Linked DNA regions of Arabidopsis thaliana. The protein of the gene in region 3 interacts with the protein of the main gene of each other region in a pairwise test. Each region holds a gene or a part of one and is shown on either strand. Other genes may lie near its edges.

Evidence for each region. Proteins that work in one complex are often made in the same cells at the same time.
Region 1: the proteins of MAP70-2 (region 3) and AT2G32650 interact in a two-hybrid assay, tested with the Arabidopsis thaliana proteins (one large-scale study listed by BioGRID).
Region 2: the proteins of MAP70-2 (region 3) and AT1G20770 interact in a two-hybrid assay, tested with the Arabidopsis thaliana proteins (one large-scale study listed by BioGRID).

The regions. Positions count from the first base shown.
Region 1 is NC_003071.7:13,847,608-13,854,103, reverse strand, and holds AT2G32650 (RmlC-like cupins superfamily protein), read right to left. Parts: upstream 3,116-6,496; 5' UTR 2,968-3,115; exon of another isoform or gene 2,733-2,967; intron 2,585-2,732; 5' UTR 2,558-2,584; coding exon 2,138-2,557; 3' UTR 2,116-2,137; downstream 1-2,115. Other genes in the region: RLP22 (receptor like protein 22), read left to right, coding at 1-207; AT2G32645 (B3 domain protein, putative (DUF313)), read left to right, coding at 1,245-1,717, 2,019-2,115; AT2G32640 (Lycopene beta/epsilon cyclase protein), read left to right, coding at 3,293-3,424, 3,714-3,831, 3,915-4,102, 4,184-4,291, 4,371-4,435, 4,551-4,656, 4,748-4,831, 4,986-5,132 and 7 more.
Region 2 is NC_003070.9:7,212,992-7,220,345, forward strand, and holds AT1G20770 (coiled-coil protein), read right to left. Parts: upstream 3,907-7,354; 5' UTR 3,658-3,906; coding exon 3,490-3,657; intron 3,212-3,489; coding exon 3,094-3,211; intron 2,972-3,093; coding exon 2,825-2,971; coding exon of another isoform or gene 2,742-2,824; coding exon 2,692-2,741; intron 2,602-2,691; coding exon 2,514-2,601; intron 2,431-2,513; coding exon 2,354-2,430; 3' UTR 2,024-2,353; downstream 1-2,023. Other genes in the region: AT1G20760 (Calcium-binding EF hand family protein), read left to right, coding at 39-110, 201-315, 428-496, 595-953, 1,204-1,782; SAUL1 (senescence-associated E3 ubiquitin ligase 1), read left to right, coding at 4,821-5,357, 5,454-5,763, 6,060-7,354.
Region 3 is NC_003070.9:8,759,501-8,768,629, forward strand, and holds MAP70-2 (microtubule-associated proteins 70-2), read right to left. Parts: upstream 3,970-9,129; 5' UTR 3,934-3,969; coding exon 3,492-3,933; exon of another isoform or gene 3,418-3,491; coding exon 3,332-3,417; intron 2,841-3,331; coding exon 2,775-2,840; intron 2,688-2,774; coding exon 2,517-2,687; intron 2,419-2,516; coding exon 2,248-2,418; intron 2,164-2,247; coding exon 2,008-2,163; intron 1,920-2,007; coding exon 1,773-1,919; intron 1,659-1,772; coding exon 1,587-1,658; intron 1,499-1,586; coding exon 959-1,498; intron 849-958; coding exon 661-848; intron 544-660; coding exon 501-543; downstream 1-500. Other genes in the region: LpxC1 (UDP-3-O-acyl N-acetylglycosamine deacetylase family protein), read left to right, coding at 8,081-8,182, 8,284-8,592, 8,780-8,986, 9,076-9,129. UniProt on the Arabidopsis thaliana protein: Plant-specific protein that interact with microtubules.

The DNA of each region.
Region 1 (6,496 bases), on a different chromosome or scaffold from region 3:
GAAAGCTGTTTAAGAGAAGACGCACCATCGACACAAGAGCCCGAAGAAGAAGAAGAAGAAATATTGGAGTGGAGAGCAGCGGCAATAGGGTATGGACCAGGGGTGTTGTTTGGATTGGCAATTGGACATGTTGTTGCTTTGTACAAGCCAGGGTGGTTCATCAAGAATAATGGTCAGAATAGGCTTAGAGGCATCAGACACCCTTAGGATTAAAATTGTTCTGTTTCATTTTTTTTTTGTAAATTGATCAATGAGTAAGTAAAGTTACTCAAAAACAGAATTATGGCATGTTCTGTTTACATTTAAACTATGATCTTATAACAGAAGAGCCGAAACTATTAAATTAGTTTCTTCCATATCAAACAACGTATTCATGACTACTTCATTTTATTATGGAAACATAAGAAACAGAACAAGTATTTCTTTACATGTGAAATTTTTTGAGTAACGAAAACATATGTTACATTTGTTGGGTAAGGGTAGTTCGTCCTTTAAGGATAACAAATTATTAGGCGGCTTAATTTAGAGCCCAGGAGTGTAAAAATTGTAATCTCACCGACTCTCATTAATTTAATCGCAAAATAAAATCAATTTCCCTATGAAGAAAAGGAAAACCTGAATACCTTCGTTCCTTGACTACAAAGCTAACCTTTTTCTCTTTCGCTAGAACTCGAGTTTCCTTCTAGGTTTTATAATTTCCGGTTCTGTATCTTCAAGAGACTTGATCAAGATGATGAAATCTGATGATCGTAGTTTTTCCAAGCAGAGATGTTTGACGAGATTACGTGAAATTCTTCAGAAGCCCCAAACCTTTGGTCGCTTTGAGGTGGAACAAATTTCGAGACGTCAGTGGGATGTGCACAAAGAGTACGGTACTAACGAAGACAAAAGCTTTAAACTGTTGAATCCGCCCGTCATGTCGTTAGAGTACGAGACTAAGAAAGACAAATCGAAAAAGAAGGAACCTAGGGTTAACTCAGGGCGGGTTAATATGCAGGAGTTGATGTACGAAGTTGTCGCAGAGTTGCCGCTTGACAGCCTCTTAGAACGTAGATCAATTACTTCCGTACTAGAAAACCCTAATCCGGATTCACAGTCGTCTATGTCATCTTGTGTCAGTCAGTCCAAGAAAAAACGTTGTTCTGTTAAGGTGGAAGAGAGACGTCCCAAGAAAGGCAAAGTCGTTAGTCCTTTAGAGGTGCAACCAAATTCAAACGACTCCACCCGATTGGCTTTTGAACGTTATGAGGAACGAGAATGGCTACAATCCGAAGCTGATCTCAACGAGGGAATTGTTTAAGTCTGATCTCGATAAAGGTAAAGCACGTCTCCAAGTCCCTTTTAACCAAGTGAAAACTCCGGACTTTTTGACAGAGGACGAGACAAGAATCATACATGAAAATGCCATGAAGATTCGTGACGATGGTGTGCCTGTGAATTTGGTGGATCCTCGGATGAATAAGCATGCGCTTGAGTTGAGGAAGTGGAAGATGAAGGGAAACTGGAATTATGTCTTTGTTAAAGGTTGGAACGATGTGCTTGATGCTAACAAGTCGAATTCGTTTAAGGAAAAAGACGTCTTTCCTCTCTGGTCTTTCCGATCTGGAACAGGCAAACTCTGTTTTGCTCTCACCCCAAAAATTCCAGCAACGGCTCTACTTCAGGAGAATCTGGCAGTGGCGGCGATGGTGCTTCTACTTGAGGTGAATCTGGTCAGGTACCGTTACCCATTCCTTCGGCAGTAGATTCTAGCCACTCTGGCCAAGGCTGTTCAGGAGAGAGCAGCTCTAGTTCTTCCTAATCATAACTCTGCTTATTGCTTAAGCCACAAGTAAAACGGATTTAGTTTTCAGGCAAATCTGGCTTGGTTTTCTTTCTTTTTTTTGTTCAGTTGATGAAATAGTGGGGTTTTGTCCAAATATGATGTTTTGATTTGAGTTTCTTTCTTTATGTTTGATTTTTTTTTATCTCTCTCTGATGCTGCCTATGTTTACTTATGATTAGCATTGAAAATGCAGAACAAAGGAGAGAGAACTTGTTTTCTTATATTATCACAAAAAGATCCATCAGGCTACAACAACACACAACAAGTGTAAAGTTTCTTGGCTCTACTAAAAACTCAAAAGTCTAAGTTGGATCAATCATCACCATAGGCCTTGAAACAATACCGCTCAATATAAGGAGCGTTAAAGAAAAGATCAGCTTCCAACCATTTCGGATACCGAACAAGATCTCCAGCTAAAAACTGCATATACCTCTTGCTTCCTTCGGGAACTACTCGAACCTCTCCTTGTTCAATGTAAACCAACTGATCCACCTGCCAATCCCATGGCAATTTGCATTTCCCTGTCTTCCAAACTGACCATCTCGAAACCCCGAGTTCCTCCAACCGTTTCTGTGAAACTTTCCGTTCCACTTTAACATTGTATAGCTCCTCTAATGGTTTCTCTGTCTGCATACAAGTCACCTTAAAGGCTCTCTGAACAGACAGGTTATTTGTCTTCTTACATGCAGTGACAGAACCTGGGAATGGTGTAGTCATTATCAGACTTGCCATGGCTGCTTCTATCCAATCTTGTGAAACCTGAGATCCACAATGAACTTTAAATAACACATATCGAAATTCTTTGTGATGTGTTAAAGTCTTGTAACTCCTGAAACAGAGAAAGAAGGTGAATTTCTAAACTCTAGTGTGTAAAAGTGAATTATATTGTAAAGCTGAAGGCTTTATCATTTACTCTCTTTGCAATAGCTTATATGAATCAATGACACAGCGTAACACAAAAACTCACAATTCAGGAAATTAGCTAATGCCCATTTGCTATTTCGATTGGAAAAGTGAAAACTCATCGCAAAATTGAAGATATACGAATTTAACCCAACAAGTCCGCAAAAAAAGGTTGTCGATTTCAAAACCAAAAAAAAAAGCGGAAGACAGATTATACGCATCGAAATCGAATTTCTTACCAGCGGAAGTGTGAGTGAGAGTAACCCTTAAACCCTGAAGCAGTCAGGCTTATCCGATCCCCGATTTGATGAATCAGTAAAAAAGAAGAAGAGGATATAATAAATATTACAGAAACGATACTAACATTTAGATTTGTTTTAATTTTAGAACAGAAGTTTGTTTTGAGTTAATGTAACCCAAAATGTTTTTGTTTTGTAAGACTGTAAACGTGTCACATTCTCTGACACATTGCACAATCTTTCCAGTTTTCTCTTCACAAGTTTTATCTCTGTTTATCAAAAGTTCGCTCTTGGTTTTATAGCATTTGTTTTGGAACTCATTGTCATGGTGGTTCTGCAAATTCATCAGTTCAATGGGTTCGTTAGTTCCGTATCAAGGGCTCAGACAAACCAAGGAAGAAGGAGAGCTTCGACGACAGTGTGCGTTCAAACACAATTGGCTCCCTCTCTTACACAGGTCAAGCTTTCTGCTCAATTACGCATCCTCTGGGGGGAAATGAGAAAAAGTTGTGAACTTTATCAGGATTAGAGATGATTTTGTGGTCTGCATTGTGATGAAAGTTTGCTCTTGATAACTGATAATTGATTTTCATTGCACAGGAAAAGAAATTTTCATCGCTTTTGTTCTTTCTTAGTTGTTTTAGTATTTGAATCTTGAGAGCCTTTAAGCGAGATTGCATAAGCATGTTTAACTTCACGATGAGTTGTTTTTAGCTGAGTATGAGTTCAATCATTTCGATATGCAGAAGATAATGGAGAGTATTTCAGTTGGTGGAGAAGCTGGAGGTGCTGGTGGTGCTTACTCTTATAATGCCTTGAAGAGACTTGACAATATTTGGTCCAACATATGTACTCAACCAACAGGTAATAAGAACAATAGTCTTTTGGTAACCATTCAGATAATTAAGAAATATGCTTCTCTTGGTGATGAATGTTAGTCTTTGCAGGACCACAAGAAACTCAGCAAATTGTTTCTAGGGTATCTGGTTTTTCTCAAGATTATAGTATGGGGAATAATCTCGTTGGAACCTTTGACATAGTGGTTTGTGGGGGTACTTTGGGGATTTTTCTAGCCACGGCTCTATGTGCCAAGGGTTTAAGAGTCGCTGTGGTGGAGAGAAATGCAATCAAAGGGGTAAAGCTTCTAGTTAATGCTGTGGTTGAGGTCTGGTTGGAGAAGCTATTGTTAAAGCTTTTTGGTTTTGTGGTGATTTAGAGAGATCAAGAATGGAATATCTCAAGAAAAGAGATGAAAGAACTGACTGAAGTCAGAGTTTTAACCGAAGATGAGATCGAAGAAGTAATTGCTGCAAAGTTCAATCCGGTAAAGCTTCTCTTCAGTAAGCAATATCTTGATGCTTTATAAAAGTCATGTAGCTTAAGGTTATCTTGAACAAATGCAGAACAGATGTGGATTTGAGAATCTTGGTGATATATGGGTTGAAGATATTCTTAACCTCGGCGTTTCGTGAGTCCTGTCTTCTCTTATTCTCTAATACATAGGAAAAGAATAATCCCCTTGTGTTCTGCTACTTTCTGAAAGTGATGATTTGTTTGTTTTTTCGTTTTGTATGTTAAAACAGCCCAGCCAAACTTGTGGAAACTGTAAAACAACGTTTCATTTCTCTTGGTGGAGTCATTTTAGAAGACTCCAGCCTCTCGAGCATCGTCATCTACAATGATTTAGCTGTGAGTTATCTGGCGTTTTCTCCAAAAACATTGTACCTAAGAAGAGTATTCAGCTTATTGATATGAATTGTTTGAACATTTTGATTGACAGGTTATGCAACTTTCTAAAGGTGACACATTATCTTCCCGTCTCGTTATTGATGCCATGGGAAACTTTTCTCCTATTCTGAAGCAGGTCATATCTTGGCCTAAGAACATATCTACTTTTACATTTTCATTTGCATTAGTTATGGTGGTAAAAAAATAAAACTTACTGATTCGCTTTTCTTGAGCAAATTGTGTATTGCCCTTGCATAATACTTTTCTTGTTATGTATTCTGCTACAAAAGATCAAACGTGGTAGAAAGCCAGATGGAATGTGCCTTGTTGTTGGATCTTGTGCTCATGGGTTTAAAGAGAACTCATCAAGCGACGTTATATATAGCAGTTCATCGGTGACCAGAGTTGCAGATTCCAATGTACAACTCTTTTGGGAGGTAAAAAAATCTGTCCCCATTCTAACACAATTCCCATAACCACAAAGAAATGGTTTTAATATAAGGATGCTTATTGTTGCTTTAAGGCTTTCCCGGCTGGCTCTGGTCCATTAGACCGCACTACTTACATGTTCACTTACACTGAACCGCAATCAACATCTCCGAGTTTAGAGGATTTACTCGAAGAATACTGGAAACTGATGCCAAAATACCAAGTGAGTTTCCTTCCATCTTATATCACAATCTTTCATCAACTTTCGTTTTTTCTTTCTTTTCCTGATGTCTTTTGGCAAAGGGAGTCTCTCTTGATGAATTGGAAATACTGAGAGTTGTATACGGAATCTTTCCTACATACCGAAATAGGTACGACTTTGACAAGAAACTCCGTTGATGCCTGTATCTCTATATCTATCATCTCTGGAAGTTTGAAATTCTATCATTGATATTATAATTCTGTTTACCAGTTTCGTACAATAATACTGCTGCATTCTGACATATCTAACCCTGTTGGATTGGACTTGTCACCAGTCCGTTGCCAGCTGCATTTGATCGTGTTCTACAGGTTGGTTTGGTTCATTTATATATAAGCTTCCAAGATAAGTTTGCGGATTGATAATTTGATAAACTAAATAATCAAAGTTACTTACAAATTTTTTACTCAGTTTGGTGATGCTAGCGGTATTCAATCACCTGTTTCATTTGGGGGTTTTGGAAGTTTGACCAGACACCTTGGAAGATTGTCCAATGGTATATACACTCACTCTCTGAGAGTACACTTGCTGTCTCCATATCTCATTGAACATTATACAACTTTTTATATCATGAACTCTTTCAGAATATTCAGATTTTCTGACAATCTTATTGTTCAACTTAAAAAAGGAATCTATGACGCAATAGATGGAGATCTTCTGGACTCTGACAGCTTATCAAAGCTAAATCCTTATATGGTAATATAGCTTTGTGGTTCTCAGCTAAATATCTTTCTCCCTGCTATTAACTTCACTGAATCCATTTGGCTTTTGAACGACAGCCAAACTTGAGCGCATCATGGCTGTTTCAAAGAGCAATGTCTGCAAAGCAACAGCTCGATGTTTCCCGTGGCTTCACCAATGAGCTTCTCCATGTAAATTTCAGTTGCATGCAGGTATAGTACACTTTTCTAAACCGGGAAATGAGAGTTTCGAACTTTGGCTTCTAAGTAATGGTTTCATATTTCTCTTGTAGAGATTGGGCGATCCAGTTCTCAGACCATTTCTTCAGGATATAATACAGTTTGGTCCTCTAGCAAAGACATTAGGCCTTGTCATGCTGACCAAACCTCAGATAATTCCGTCAATATTCAGACAGGTATAGCTCTCCTTTGA
Region 2 (7,354 bases), 1.5 Mb from region 3:
TGTTACTTATTGAACTTTTGCTTTGCTAACCCATCCAGGGGCGGAAGATGGAGTTGAGTCAAGCAATTGTGAACATGGAGCAAGGTGGTAGTGCTGATGGTCTCCTTCAGGTACATGCTATTCTATATGCTTACGAGATGCCTTAACTGTCGAGTATCTGCTGTACATGCCTGATTTGATGCTGTACTGGGCACATTTAGGTCCGGGCTGACAGAATACAATCAGATCTTGAGGAATTGATGAAGGCTTTAACTGAACGATGCAAGAAACACGGGTTGGAGGTTAACTCGAAGGCCCTTGTAGACCTTCCAGCTGGTATATGATTCCGTTGCCTTGTGACTTCTTGCTTTCGTTGTAGATGATTGCAAATAACATGTATTTTGTAAACAAACAACTTATGTGGAATTTGCTATGTTGTGACTTACAGGCTGGCAACCTGGAATTCAAGAAGGTGCAGCTCTTTGGGATGAGGAATGGGATAAGTTTGAAGATGAAGGTACAATGTTTTTTCCTATCTTTCTCTTACTAATACACTTAGATATATATAGTTAAGCACATAACAAGGACATTGACTGATAATGTTCCCACTGTTAGGTTTTGGCAATGAGATCACTTTTGACAAATCAAAAGAGCAAAACTCGTCTGGTGAGAAGGAAAATGGTACGGTGGATGATGGTAGTGGGCCACCTGATTCGCCGACCCATGTAGAGGACAACTATGGCCCTTTTTCAGAAACCTCAGACCGCCACCATGAGAGTGAATATGGGACAACTCACAGTGAAGATAGAAGTCCTAGAGACAGTCCTGTCTCTAGGAATGCTACTGAGGTCCCATCTCCAGATTATTCTCAGGGAAAGAATTCTGAATTCTTTGATGACTCGAATTGGGCAAGTGCATTTGACACTAACGATGATGTGGATTCAGTCTGGGGATTTGATGCATCAAAAAGCCAGGTTAGTAAAGAAACATAGTGTCTCTCGCTTTAACACATCAATCCATCTATCAAAATACTAAATCAAATCTTTCAGTTGTGACGAATAGACATTGAACTGATCTTTTAATTTCTACAAGATTTTGAAAATCCGTATTAAGTTCATGCTTTTCAGATTTGCGATGTTACATTTACCTTCTGTATGCTGAATCATTTAGTTATCTATTCAGAGTCTTAACCAAGCTTAGCATTTTCAATATCAACATTGGCAGGATGGAGATTACTTTGGATCAGGTGACGATTTTGGTGGAAACACAGCAAGAGCAGATTCTCCAAGTTCAAGAAGCTTTGGCGCCCAGAGAAAGAGCCAATTTGCATTTGATGATTCAGTCCCCAGCACTCCACTCTCAAGATTCGGGAACTCTCCACCTCGGTTCAGCGATGCATCAGCTAGAGATAATAACTTTGATAGCTTCTCCAGGTTCGACTCCTTCAACACCAGTGAAGCAGGCGCCGGGTTTTCTTCGCAGCCCGAGAGACTGTCTCGGTTTGATTCCATCAACAGCTCCAAAGACTTTGGTGGAGCTGCCTTCTCTAGGTTCGATTCAATTAACAGTTCCAGAGACGTCACTGGAGCTGAGAAATTTTCGAGGTTTGATTCCATCAACAGTAGCAAAGACTTTGGTGGTCCCTCGCTATCAAGATTCGACTCTATGAATAGTACAAAGGATTTCAGTGGTAGCCATGGATACTCGTTTGATGATGCAGACCCGTTTGGTTCCACAGGTCCCTTTAAAGTCTCTTCGGATGAAAGCCCTACGAAAAGGTCAGATAACTGGAACTCCTTCTAGCCTCGGTTACTATCGTTCCCTTTTATAATCCTTTTTCCTCGCTTGATGAACTTGTGCTTGTTTCATAATTATAATTTTTTCACCAAATTCTGGTTTTGGATGAGACACTAGCGTTAGTCTATTTGTAATTTGTAAAGTTTGTCTCTGTATTGGTTTCCTACTGTATCTCTGTTATGTTATGAATTCATTTGCTTTATATGAAAGAAATATTTGAGGATTTCGTCGTGGATAAGAGATTAAAGGACAATGAAATGATTTTATTTTTCTCCATTTTTACTGTTTCTCTTCTCCAAAATGTTTTATTATTTTGATATATCCTTAGCTCGAGGTCTTGTAAGAACTTCTGGTAACATTTAACCAAATCAAAACAGATACACTTGAAGGTGGTAGCTACAAAATTGAAAATCGAGCTAATGCATTGGTACATTCTAACCCTCTGACTCGAAGAAGATATGATTTTCGCAGCATCAAACTGCTATGATCAATGTAACATCAGTCTTTGAGGTTGGCTCCATTCTGTTTCCGTTGAATCCACTGAGCACATTTCAGGATCAGTTGTTACCAAGGAACTTCACTTCTCTGTGATCCGCTCAAAGGCAGATATCATCGATGCACGCATGTTGGCTATTTCCACCAGAGTTTCAAGAGCTGTCCAAAGACGAGAGAAAAAAGAGTTTCAGTTGTAAACTGGAATCTTCCTTTGAGTATACTTGTGGTGATGAGGATGTTACCTGTTTCAAATGATTGTTGAGCGCCACGCAGCTTAGGAGAGACTAGACCTCCAAATACTGACAGAGATTTTGCCCGTTCTTTCTTTATCTGGAGCTCAACACATTCGAATTAGTAAAACCATCGTCCTACATTTTGAAAACAAGTAGAGTTTCTGCAGACGGTTAAATGATTGCTCACCTCTTCATCAGCTGCTAAAACGGTTTCATCCTTGGCTGATGGTTTCTCTTCTATCGAATTACATAAAGCAAGAGATGATGAAACACCGACAAACAAAGGGCAGAGAATAACCAACAGATGAGTCTTTTTTTACCAGAAACTCCTCGATGTCGTAGCTGTGGGCTGAGAGGTGAGCCTATCTCCGAATCTGTATCAGTAGAGAAGTCTTTGCCTTTCCTGCTACCGCCCTTGGAAGCCCACTTGGACAAAGCAAAATGAGGTACTGATCCCAAAGATTCAACTACAAGAGTCCATAGACATACACTGTATATAAGTTGCTTCCCCGCAAAAAAAACATAAATTCATAGCATATAAACGTAAACCATTGAACTATCAAACGCCCAAAGCATAAGCCAAACTTACCATCTTGGTCAGTCACTTGCAATGTTGAAGAAGCGGGATGATACTTAAGATCTAAGAGAGTGCTGTTGATGCGTAAAGTTCCCATAGAATGTCGAGCACTAGCTAGATCAAACCATCCCTGCAAAAATAACACATTTCAGTTCCATACCAAATAAGTTAATTAAGGCAGCAGACTCTCACTCTCATCATATCAGTGATATGAATCCACAAAAAAGTTTCTCCTCATGGCTACTATAGCTAGATAATCAACGAAAACGTTTCCCACGCAATCCTTTTTAATCCCAGATTCAATTCAATTCAACACAGAATATCTCAAGTCATCTATACATCAGAACATAAGAATCATTCCCATAAGATCCCATTTTAGCTCAATACACCAAATATCATTCCAATTACCTCTCGAAGCTTAGAATTCACAGAATCCATAAGCGTTAAATATCCATCCAACGAATCTAGAAACTGCAAAACATTCTCATCTCCTCCCCCTTTTCCCAGCTCAGTTTTCACTTCTGATTCTTTATTCACATCCACTGATTCATCTCCTTCCTCGTAAATCTCCGCCATCGAAATTTAGCTCCAACACACGCGAATCAACAAATCGAAGCTTACACGAGGAAGACAACGTAAAGCGATCGAAACAGAGACAGATCAATTTCTCGAGTAAACGAGGCTATTTTCGTAATATTTCAATTAGTAAAGGCCCAATAGCCCAAGTAGAAGACAACGTAAAGCGATCGAAACAAAGACGGATCAAACGAGGCTATTTTCGTAATATCCAATTAATAAAGGCCCATTAATACCAATAGCCCAAGTCGAAAGATTACCTCTTTCGGGTCAAACCGGTTATGTTTATGGGTGGGTGGGTAGAGCAAGTCGAGTGTGTGTGAACACAGCGCCAGGCTGTTTGTCTCAGTTTGTCAAGTTGGCGTTTGGTGGCTCCACGTCTCTCTCTATCTCTCTCTCTCACATGACTTTTCGATTTTAGTCAACCTTTCGTGCTTTTCTCTTAAAAATTCGATTTTTTCTTCAACCCATCTTCTTCTCTGTTATTTCCTCTCGCTTTTACCTGTCTCTCTCGTTCTCGCACGGGGATAGAATCAACTCTGCTCGAGATTTTAGTAGGAGGCAAGCTCGATTGCTTGCAATTAGATCCATGGATGAAGAAGAACTCACACTTTCTCGCGCGTTTTTAGCTCAAGGAGATTTTTGAAGAAGTGGTCGTTTTCGAATTGTCAACTTCAGAAGAAGAATCAACTTTGGTTTTTTCTTTTCCCTTCTCTGTATAGCTTTGAGGAGGCGCTTCTTCAACTGGAACAGGCTGGTGTGCTTTTTTTTTTATCTCTTTTGGTATTTTTGAAATGCTTCATGAGACGTTGTTTCTCTTCTTTATCTTTTTGACGAATATTGCTAAATTTGGTAATCTTGCTATATAAGGGTTCATGGGAGTGATGATTTTGGGACACTGTTACTTTTCGTATTTTAGGTTATAGTTATGATTGAAAGTTTGAATTTTGTTTCCTTGGCTGTGAAAGAATCCGGGAACCAAACTGTGGTACTATCCCTTTTTGTGTTTCCAAAACTTTCTCATTCATTTACTATCAAATTTCGACACTTTCTTACCAGACTCTCTTGCATTGATGTATCCAAGTGGGTTTTCATCTAGGATCCTATGTTTCATAACAATGAGGTATTTGCTTGTACATTTGCAGTGAGTTTGAAGGATTAAGATGGTTGGAAGCTCGGATGGTGACCAGTCAGATGATAGCTCTCATTTTGAGCGAGGAGTAGATCATATCTATGAAGCATTCATCTGCCCATTGACAAAGGAGGTTATGCATGATCCTGTCACTTTAGAGAATGGTCGAACATTCGAGCGTGAAGCCATTGAGAAATGGTTCAAGGAGTGTCGGGACAGTGGGAGACCTCCTTCTTGCCCTTTGACATCTCAGGAGCTGACTAGCACTGATGTAAGCGCCAGCATAGCTCTGCGTAACACTATCGAAGAGTGGAGATCCAGGAATGATGCTGCCAAGCTTGACATTGCTCGTCAGTCACTGTTTTTAGGGAATGCTGAGACAGATATTTTGCAAGCTTTGATGCATGTGCGACAGATTTGCAGGACCATCCGATCAAATAGGCATGGTGTACGCAACTCTCAGCTTATCCATATGATCATCGACATGTTAAAAAGTACTAGCCATAGAGTGCGGTATAAGGCTCTACAAACTCTGCAAGTTGTCGTTGAAGGAGATGATGAGAGCAAGGTTGAATCTGATTTCTTTTCATCTCTGCTGAATATTTAGTGTAGCATTTTAATGGGAAATTGAGCGGGTGCTAATTAAATTTTCAGCATCTTGCAGGCGATAGTAGCTGAAGGGGACACTGTGCGTACACTAGTTAAGTTCTTATCACATGAGCCATCAAAGGGGAGGGAGGCAGCTGTTTCCTTGCTGTTTGAGCTCTCTAAATCAGAAGCTTTGTGCGAGAAGATTGGTTCCATTCATGGAGCACTAATATTATTGGTTGGTCTGACAAGCAGCAACTCAGAAAATGTTTCAATTGTTGAGAAAGCTGATAGAACCTTGGAAAATATGGAGAGGTCAGAGGAAATTGTTAGGCAGATGGCTTCATATGGTAGACTCCAGCCTCTTCTAGGCAAACTCCTTGAAGGTGAAAGAATTTCTTTTCTTTGTTTGGTTTTAATATAACAATTACGCTCTCTACTTCATTTGCATAAAACAAGTTATCATCTTCCTTCAGTTGGTAAAATTCTTCCTTCAGTTGTTCGGATGCATCACAGTGTTATGGTATTCTGCCTTAGAATTTGTTTGCTCTAGGAATTTTACATGTTCGCTTGTAAGAAGAGTCAATTTTCTTCTACCCAGATGGTCAAATCTTTCATTATTTTCCTCTGTTATATGGCAAATTTCTTGTATGAATAATGACACCACATGTGAAATCTGCAGGTTCACCTGAAACAAAACTCTCTATGGCTTCCTTTCTCGGGGAGCTTCCCTTAAATAACGATGTGAAGGTTCTTGTGGCTCAGACTGTGGGTTCTTCTCTTGTCGATCTTATGAGAAGTGGTGACATGCCCCAACGGGAAGCTGCCTTGAAAGCTCTTAACAAAATCTCATCGTTCGAAGGGAGTGCTAAGGTCTTGATCAGCAAAGGAATTCTCCCCCCACTTATCAAAGATCTGTTTTATGTGGGGCCAAACAACCTTCCAATTCGGTTGAAAGAAGTCTCTGCCACTATTCTTGCTAACATAGTGAACATCGGGTATGACTTTGACAAAGCCACTCTTGTTTCAGAGAACAGAGTGGAGAATCTGCTCCATCTAATTAGCAACACAGGTCCAGCGATCCAGTGCAAGCTGTTGGAGGTTCTTGTTGGACTCACCAGTTGCCCAAAAACAGTTCCAAAAGTTGTTTATGCAATTAAAACCTCCGGTGCAATCATCAGTTTGGTTCAGTTTATAGAGGTCCGAGAGAATGATGATTTGCGGTTGGCTTCCATAAAGCTTCTTCATAACCTTTCCCCATTCATGAGTGAAGAACTAGCTAAGGCCTTATGTGGCACTGCTGGACAACTCGGAAGCCTTGTTGCTATCATTTCAGAAAAGACACCAATCACTGAAGAACAGGCTGCTGCTGCTGGGCTCTTAGCTGAATTGCCAGATAGGGATTTGGGTCTTACTCAGGAAATGTTAGAAGTTGGTGCTTTTGAAAAAATCATATCCAAAGTGTTTGGAATCCGCCAAGGGGATATCAAGGGAATGAGGTTTGTGAATCCTTTTCTGGAAGGACTTGTGCGTATACTTGCTAGGATTACTTTTGTTTTCAACAAAGAGGCTCGGGCCATTAACTTTTGCCGTGAGCACGATGTTGCGTCACTCTTCCTTCATCTGCTCCAATCCAACGGGCAAGATAACATACAGATGGTGTCCGCCATGGCTTTAGAGAATCTTTCACTAGAGTCTATAAAGCTGACACGGATGCCTGATCCGCCTCCTGTGAACTACTGTGGCTCGATCTTTTCGTGTGTGAGAAAACCACACGTTGTAAACGGGCTGTGCAAGATCCACCAGGGAATATGTTCATTAAGAGAAACATTTTGCCTTGTCGAAGGAGGAGCTGTGGAGAAATTAGTGGCTCTATTAGACCATGAAAATGTGAAAGTGGTTGAGGCCGCACTTGCAGCTCTATCGAGCTTACTAGAAGACGGGTTAGATGTAGAGAAAGGGGTCAAGATACTCGAT
Region 3 (9,129 bases):
TTTGAAATCTTCGAGTACTTGTTGTGATGTGATTTGTTCAAATATATCAAATCATATATTATATATCAGCAAACCCAAAATACAAACGAATAAATCACACAAAGAGTGCAATAGAGTAACAAACAAATAAAAGGAATCAGAGGTACACAAGCTCTAGAGAAGCCAAATACCAAACCTATACACCAAAAACAAACTAACTCCCGAAAAGAGAGATGAAAATGTTAGCCAAAATGTCAACATCTCTCACTCTCTCCCTCGGCTTTTCTTCTCCTCCCTCTAACCACTTTAACACCAAATCTATGTCACAAACTCTCTTTCTTATCTTTTTACTAGGTTATAGGTGTGAGGATGGGATTATCAGCATGCTAAGTTATATATGGTGATACAACCAATCACATGAGGTAAACAAAAACAAAGTAAAAGCCATGATATAAGGTTAAAACAGCTGAATAACAAGAGCCAAGGACATTCTTTTACTTGTTATTTTCTTGAATCTCCCTTCACTGGGTACTCTTCGTTAACCCGCCACTTCGTCCAGCAGCTCTGCGCAAATCCAAACTCCAAATTTAGTTTGAATACCAAATTATGAACTAAGAAGTATATAGCATTATAGCTAACCATGAAATGTGTAATACAAAGTGAAAAACCACATAGCTCTACCTTCCCGCAAGAATCTGGGCGGTGTTGGATGGGCTCTTGCTATTTGAAAACCTTTTGGCTCTGGCGTCCTGATCTTTCTCCACACGCATTGCAGCAACTTCTTTTTCCATTGCAGCTACTTCCCGTCTCATCTTCTTTGCTTCAACCTCCATTGCCTTTGTTAATGTTTCCACCTTCTTCGCTAGCATCTACGAACATCAACGTATCATTACTTCCTCCGTTTACAACAAGAATGTTCTTCTTTAAACAAGATTAATATGGCATAAAGAAACAGAACTTAAAGAAACAGAACTCTTACCTCGATGGCATCATCTTTGTCTTTGAGGCTTTGATCCTTTTCATTAGAGGCTTTCCTCAAAGAAACTACTTCTTTCTGTAGTAAATCATACAAAACACCAGGGACACTGTCCTCAGTTGCTGCTTCAGGGTCTTCACTTTGTGGCTTCTCCTCTGAATTTTCTTTCCACCCATTACCTGACTCTGCTTCCTTAGAGTCATCAGTAGCCTTGTTGAAGGAATAATTCCCAGGTCCGTTTAAAAGTGCTTTGCCTCTATCCACGGATCTTGTGCCTCCATCAAATGACTTAGATGTTCCTTTAGCATTCTTCAACACCGAAGTTGAATTAATAGACAATGAATGCCTCATCTGAGATGCTGGAGCTTTCTTTGATAAAGCACCGTTTGATGTAAATTTTTGTAAGTTTTCAGCTCCACCAAGCGACTGCCTGCGAGAAGGTCCATTACTCATGCTTCTTGCCTCGGGTGTGTTCCTGGTGGCGCTGCTTGAAGTTCCTCGAAGTGTCTCCTCAAGCACTTTAAGCCGCAGTTGAAACTTCTCCTGAAATTGCACAAACAAAATATATTACTTCTTGTTCTGTGTAACAAGATCAACTGAAAGAAGCTGACTAATGGATAAGATTTGTTACTTTTAACTGTGCCTCGGATTTTGCAGCCCGGTCTGTTATGGCGAGCTTATCACGAAGTTGCTGCATTTCTCCCTGCAAAAAAGTTGAGGATCAAGAAGTGAGAATGTAGATATGGATGGGCCTTGCTCACTGCAAATAATTTGCGTCCTAAGAATCTAGGAGAGGGGCCATCATATCAAAGTAAACCTGTAGAAACCTTCGTTCTTCGAGCCATTGCTTCACAGGCATCACTTTATCATTACCATCTTTCCACTCATTTGCTACCACAGTGGCAACTCTGTTTGCTGTAACCTTTGCACGTGCAAGCTCCCGGTCAAGAGTTTTCCGCTCTTCCTGAAAGACAAAAACAAGAATTATTCCTACATCAGTAGGCAATTGTTGTGACAAGAAATTAGAGACTTTATGAAGTGTGTTTAGTTACATTCATCTCTTGAAATTTCCGCTGGTAATCCCTCACGGCATTTGCAGCAGCACCACCTGCAAGAACAGCCTCTTCTAGCTCTCGTACTGTCTGAGTAAGCTTTTCCACTTCAGCAACCTTCTGCCTATGCATTCTATCTAGAATTTTGTTTTCTTCCTAAAACAGAAAATAAAGTTAATCAGATTGTTGGCAAATCCATAGATTAAGTAAATACAAAGAACAAGATGGCGACCACAGAACCTGACAGATTTCAATTTGCTTCATTAGCTCCTGGTTCTTATTCTGAAGATCATCAACCATAGCGGCTTTTGCCATGGCAGCTTCAACGGTCCTCTCAGCTTCAAGTAAGGCAGCTTCCTTTGATTTAGTCAGACGGTCCAAAGCCCTGTTATCTTCTTGAAGCTTTCCAATCTACACAGATACAAGAGATTTGATCAGTGACCTCATAAACTTTCAATATCCCATATGAAAGTAAACAGCAAGCAGTTAGACTTAAAATGACAATATACCTCTGATCGTGCAAGCTTAAGTTCAGCTTCTAATGGAGCAAGGATGGCTTCAATAGGAGGCATGTCATCATCCTTTTGAGCAGCATGGACTCTTCTTAAAGTGGCTTCAGCAGCAAACTGAGCAGCCATTGATGCTTTCTTTTCCTCATTGATTTTCTTGATTTCTAGATTCTGCAGCAAGGTTGATATCATATGTCTATAAGCTTAAGAAACGAAAGGTGAACATCATCGAACCAAGGAAAGATTATCGAACAATACTTTGCTTTCGAGAATGGATTCAGTCAACTTGAGCTTCTCATCCAACTTAGTAAGCTCCTCAGTAAGCTACAACAACAACAAAAAAACATAGAGGAAACTTCATTCCACAAGAAGAGAATGTGTAAATAAAAAATCCCACTGTTAAAAACATAAAAGTCAAGAACAAACACATGATGTTATAATTGATCAAAACTAAAAGGCAAAGTTAAATTCTGAATGTTCTTCTCCAACCACATTGCCCAAATACCACACTACGATAAATGCACCTAAATTCATTATAAATTATTTCTTCAACTAACAAGGAAACTAAGACTTTGTAGTAAAATAAAGTGACCCAGATGTGAAATTCATCAACCATTATTTGATTGGTTGAACCAAAAATGTAGAGATTAATAATCGTCCCTGAGAAATTGCTAAATGTGTGAAATTTATCAACCATTATTGATTGGCTTAACCAAAAATGGAGATAATTTACCAAAACATCAAGAAATGATTAAGAATTGGTAAAATGTGAAAAAGCTTCAGACAAAAATAGCAAAATTCAGACACAAACAAACCTCTTCAACAGCTTTCTCTCTTTGTCTCTCAGACAACCTAAGCGCTTTGATCTCAGCGTTTGCTTCTCCTAACTCCCGATCCTTATCTACATCCCCCCAACAACCAATAATCAGAAACCGAATCGACAAAAAATAAAAAAATCGAACAGCATTATCAGACCTCTAACTTCATTCTCTAGTCGATTAAGCTCCACTTTCACTGGATCCGAGCCATGAAGCAAAGTAATAAACTCATTATCAGCCGCAGCGTCGAAACTCGGCCTTATTGGTCTCCTCTTCGACGAGCTTTTACCTCCGCTGCTCTCTTTGTAAGACGCCGACACCGTTAATGACGGATACGTCGCCGAAGAAACCGGCGGTTGTGGAGTTACTTCATGTTCAGTAACCGTCGCCGATAAATCTCCGTCACCGGAAACATCCGACATCTCCGATCTGATTCCTTTGTTGGATATATATACAAAAAGCACTTCCAAATCCAAATGCCAGAGAGAGAGATTGTTTGAGAAAGTGAGAGAGAAGAGAATGAGTAAAGAGAAGAGAGATTTATAAATAAATATGCAGTTACAGATTTGACAAGACAGCGAGAGATGATGACGCAACATTTGTATTAATTCTTAAACACTAACTTCAAACATGTTACTTTTTCTGATTAGTCAATAAACTAATTAATTAGTAAGCAAATTAGACAATTAAGTAGTAGTACTATGTTTTCTACTATTTTTCTTTAGTAGCTTACAGTGAATTTTGTCGCTTGGATCTCTTCTAATATTGTTTATTTCAAAAAGTTAATTCTTGGTGTGCATCTTTATTACAAAAAAATAATAAACACAAAAGTAATAATGAGAAATAAACCTGAGTTTTTTGTAGCAGACACTTAGTTGAATGTTTATTGAGTATTAATGTCATGGAATTGTTTCTGGTATTTTTTCTTGTGATTTATTTAGTTAGTTGTGAATTCATCTTTTGATTGTAAGGTAGATAATTAATTATTACAGATAAAATATGTTGACTTGGTCAATATGTTCAATTGTCTGATAATTAGTAAGGAAAAGGTATAACTAGTAATTAGTGAAGATTAGATTTAAATGCTTTGCCCATGAAAAGAGGGAAAATGTTCGATGTCCCAAATATCTTTGTTTCGCTTTTTCTCTTTTCGAGGGATAATGCTTCTTCTCTTTTTTCTCAAGTAAGGTTGGTTGGTTCTACTTCTAATGGACAACAATAAGAAAAGTATATGAATCTTAACACCTATGACCTATTCTACTCATATTTTAGAATCCTATTCTTAAAGATCACTTGAGATTATTAGCCTAAGTTAGGAATAAATAACTATATGACTATTTTCATATATGTATTTGTTCAATAGAAGCATGTTAACCTTGTTGACAACAAAACATTTGTTCCACCCATTAAAATTATATGTTTATATAGGTTATTTTAGTAAAGTGGTTAAATGCGAGTTATATAGGTGGGTAGTTCAAATGTATAAAAACAGGATGGTGTCTGAAACTTTTCTTTAAATTTACAGAAAGAAAATAGATACTTTTCCCAGATACAAGAAGTACACATTAAGCAGCTTATACAGTTTGATATTCCTCAAGTCGGAAATTCTGCAATCTTTACTTAACAGGTATTTTATTTAATCAGTATTCCGTACTCACATGCTTCCACTACAACGAGACCTTTCGATAAAATATAGATCTATTTAGACTATTATTAAAATTTAAAAGTAACAAAGACAACGAATATACTAAACTCAGATTATATTTTCCAAAACTATTACTAAATTAAGAATATCAATACGTACACTAGATATAGAAATCGGAATTAGGTACGTTGTGATCAATTTCAGCTACCATAAACTAGTCAATTGTAGTGACTAGTGAGTATGTGGACCTTGGATTCATATAGAGTTATGAGATTCGGTTTAACGTATCATGCGAATCTCAGTGTCTACTAAATGCAAAAGGAACAAACGCATATTATAGATGATAATACGTGATTGGACACATCACATAGTTTAAGGCATTACATATATCGATATACATAATTAAATACGTATTACTTCTATGGCGTGTAGTAGAAAGACTAGCTGCATATGGCACCTAATTAATACACATATGGTTCATGTGAAATGCTGGATATGTATATGGTATACCACCACTTTGGTACCATAATGCAACATCTAAATTCGAGAAACGTACTTTCTTATGAATACAACGTTTTGGGCATCATTTAGGGAGAGATGAACTCCATTACCCAAAAGTAAAATTATTCTCTCATATTTCGGAGACGTTATATTTGAAGTCCATGCCATTTTTTAACCTCGTTATTTTTTCATGATAAACTTTTGTACCGCCGACTAAGTACTAAGTTTTTGATACCGCAAACTCTTAACTGTTTTTCAAACCACTGATTTTTACGACTTTATTATAGTTTTACACATAAATAAAAGTCGTCCATGTAATTAAGTATGTAACCATATTTTACCGTAACGTACATCACCAAATAAATCTGAAAGGAGAGAGGAGGATAAAATAAAGGGAAAAAAAGGAAAAAGGGTAGCAAGGAAGAAAGCTGCGTGAACCCATGTGCCACTTCTTTGCTATGCCTTGAAGAATCAGACAAAACGAGTGGAGTCTAGAGACTTTGATCCTAATACCACTCCTTAATATATGCCTATCCTATCATTATTTCACAACGCATGTTTACTTTTGTTATGAAATATAGTTTTGTTTAAAGGGTGGTAACGTAATTTATGGGTTCCATTAGGATTGTGTTTTATTTTCTCTCCTCATCCTCATGCATGTAAGAATTTGCATTTTTATAAATATATACTATGAATTCAGTCCAACCTTACAGTGTGAACAATTTAATTAAACGAAGCATAATCCTAAAAGAAAATAAAACTAAAAAAAAATAGTTAAGATGGTATAAGATAATTTTATTAAGTTAAGATGTTGCACTTTTCACTAAGTAAATCAAACATTTACATAGTGATTTGTCATAATGTGCATATTCCATTTTTTCGGGTCTTTCATTTCCATATTCCTCAGCTCTTTCATATATTGAAGATTGAAGAGAATAAGAAAGACGCTTTTTATAGGAAACGAATTAAAGAGTGTTGACTTGCCGTAAAAGTAACTTAAATTGTTCGTCGCCTGAGCATGGATTTATATAAACGTGAAGTACTATACAAAACCCTAACCAACATTTGATCAAACGACAATGATGTCGGAACTTCCAGAGCATTTGTTAGAAGAGATACTCTACCGCGTTCCAGCTATGTCTTTGAAACAGTTAGGGTCTACTTGCAAAGGATGGAACTGTTTATTCAAGGATAGGAGATTCACAAGAAAACACTTGGATAAAGGCCCAAAGCAGTTTCTGATTCACATGTCTAAAGGGCTTAGGGTACGCTCGATGAGTGTCGATCTCCATAGACTTCCACATGTAAAAGTCACAGTTGAATTTACCCTAATCAACCCTAAATATCCTAGTTGTCTAGATCAAGATCAATTCGAGATATATAAAGTCTCTCACTGCGACGGCTTATTGTTATGCGTCTGCGTCACCAAGGAGGACAATACTTGGCTCGCGGTATGGAACCCGTGTACTGGTCAAACAAGGTGGATTCAACCCATGACTTATATGACAACTATACTCTCGGATCCTACCAAAATAATAGCTACAATATATTGGCACACACTGGTTTTGGCTACGACCACGAATTCCAAATTTATGAAATTAACTCCAATTCATGGAGGATTATTGATGCCACTTTGGACTTCAAATTAGGGTATATTGGTCGTGGCGTGTCTTTGAAGGGAAAGACTTACTGGATTGCTAGTGGTGAAGAAGAGAAACGGCTTGGCAAATTCTTAATCAGTTTTGATTATACGACAGAAAGATTTGAACGTCTATGTCTTCCGAATAAGTATCCTTGTTATGCAACTCTGGCTCTATCCGTTGTTAGAGAAGAGAAACTTTCCATGTTATCGCAACGCGGAATTAAATCAAAGGCAGAAATATGGGTGACAAATAAGATTGGTGAGACACAAGTGGTGTCGTGGAGCATGGTCTTAGCTTTGGATTTGCAGCCTAAACGTTGTATTGGGGAAAGCGGAAGTTTCTTGGTCGACGAGAAGAAGAGAGTGGTCGTGTGTTGTGATAATATTAGAGACCAAGGAAAAACCACGGTACACATTTTTGGAGAGGACAACAAAGTGAAACAAGTGGGTTTTGAAGTCGGATCATCTCTGTAATGTATGTTTTATTATGTTCCAAGTTTGACTCAAATCTACCAAGGTATCACAGGCAAAAGAAAAAGGGACGAATGATCATAGTGTTTGGTGTGGATCTTGGAGCAACTATCAGATTTTTCAATTATGATAAGTTTTCTTCTCAATTTCAATTAATCGCTTCTTTATGCCATAATTTAGAGGCAATTGCTGTAATATTTCTAAATTTTTTAGGCATTCTTTACTTTGTACTTCTCCTTTTAATTATATAGGTAGATTTGATGATAATTAGAAGATTAAGACTTCAAAAATGGAGATTATGTGAAATTGAGAAAAGCATCACACAAAGAAAATGGTTTTTGGTGGAACAATTGGGATATTTGCATAACATGAATTTTGATTCCGGTTTACTATACATTATTTGTTTCTTGATTCCGGTTTAGTATATCCTAGTACTTACTTAAATCAATAATCCGGGCATGGTTAAAATTAATCAGACGTTGAATCAATGAGACTCCCCGTCACCGTCAAAGCCACTAAGCCGTCGTTTCTCGTCATTTGGATCCGATACTCCTCCGCCGCGTCGTCGCCGACAGTCTCCTTGAATCCAGTAAACCTCTCTCCCGCACACGCTTACATGTATATGCGACTTTATTATCCATTGGAATCATTTTGAGTGTGTTTTTTTTGTCTTGGGGTTCAATACTGTAGAGTGGACGATTACAGCAAACTCTCGCAGGATCTGTGGAAGTGAAAGGAAAATCTCTGCACTCCGGTAAGTTCTCGACGGTGAAGCTAAATCCGGAGATCGCCGGAGCTGGTAGGTTCTTCGAGTTTCGATCCAGATTCATCCCTGCGTCGATTGAATTTGCTCAGGAATCGCCTCTTTGCACGACGCTGTTGAAAGATGAGCTCAAAATCCGAACCGTTGAGCATTTGTTATCAGCTCTTGAGGCGAAGGGAGTTGATAATTGCAGGATTCAAATCGAGAGCGAAAGTTCCGATGATCGAGAAGTCGAGGTTTGTTACCTGAATACATACATTTTGAGTAATCATAGGTCGAATCAATGTCTCGTATTGTCTATTTTGACTGGATTTGTATGCTATAGAGATTGTCAACATCTTGCTGTGCAGTGTAGCTCTTAGTTTTATAGACTTGGTACACTGGAGGAGATGATGAGTGTAGGCAACACTAACCAAGTGACAGGTCCCTATTTTTGATGGATCAGCTAAAGAATGGGTCGATGCGATACAAGGAGTTGGCATAAACGCGGCTCAAAACCATGATGGTGAAAGTGTAGAGAAGATGGTCGCACATGTGAACAAGCCTGTGTATGTTTGCAAGAACGATACTTTTGTTGCTGCATTTCCGGCTCTAGAGACTCGGATCACTTGTGGTATCGACTTCCCACAGGTTCAGTCTAATGGCATTTTGACTTATTTTCTGCTTGTACATAAATTGTTATTGACTTGGTCTGTTGTGTATGATGATGAACTTTACAGGTGCCTGCTATAGGCTGCCAATGGTTTTCTTGGAGACCTATCCATGAGTCTTCT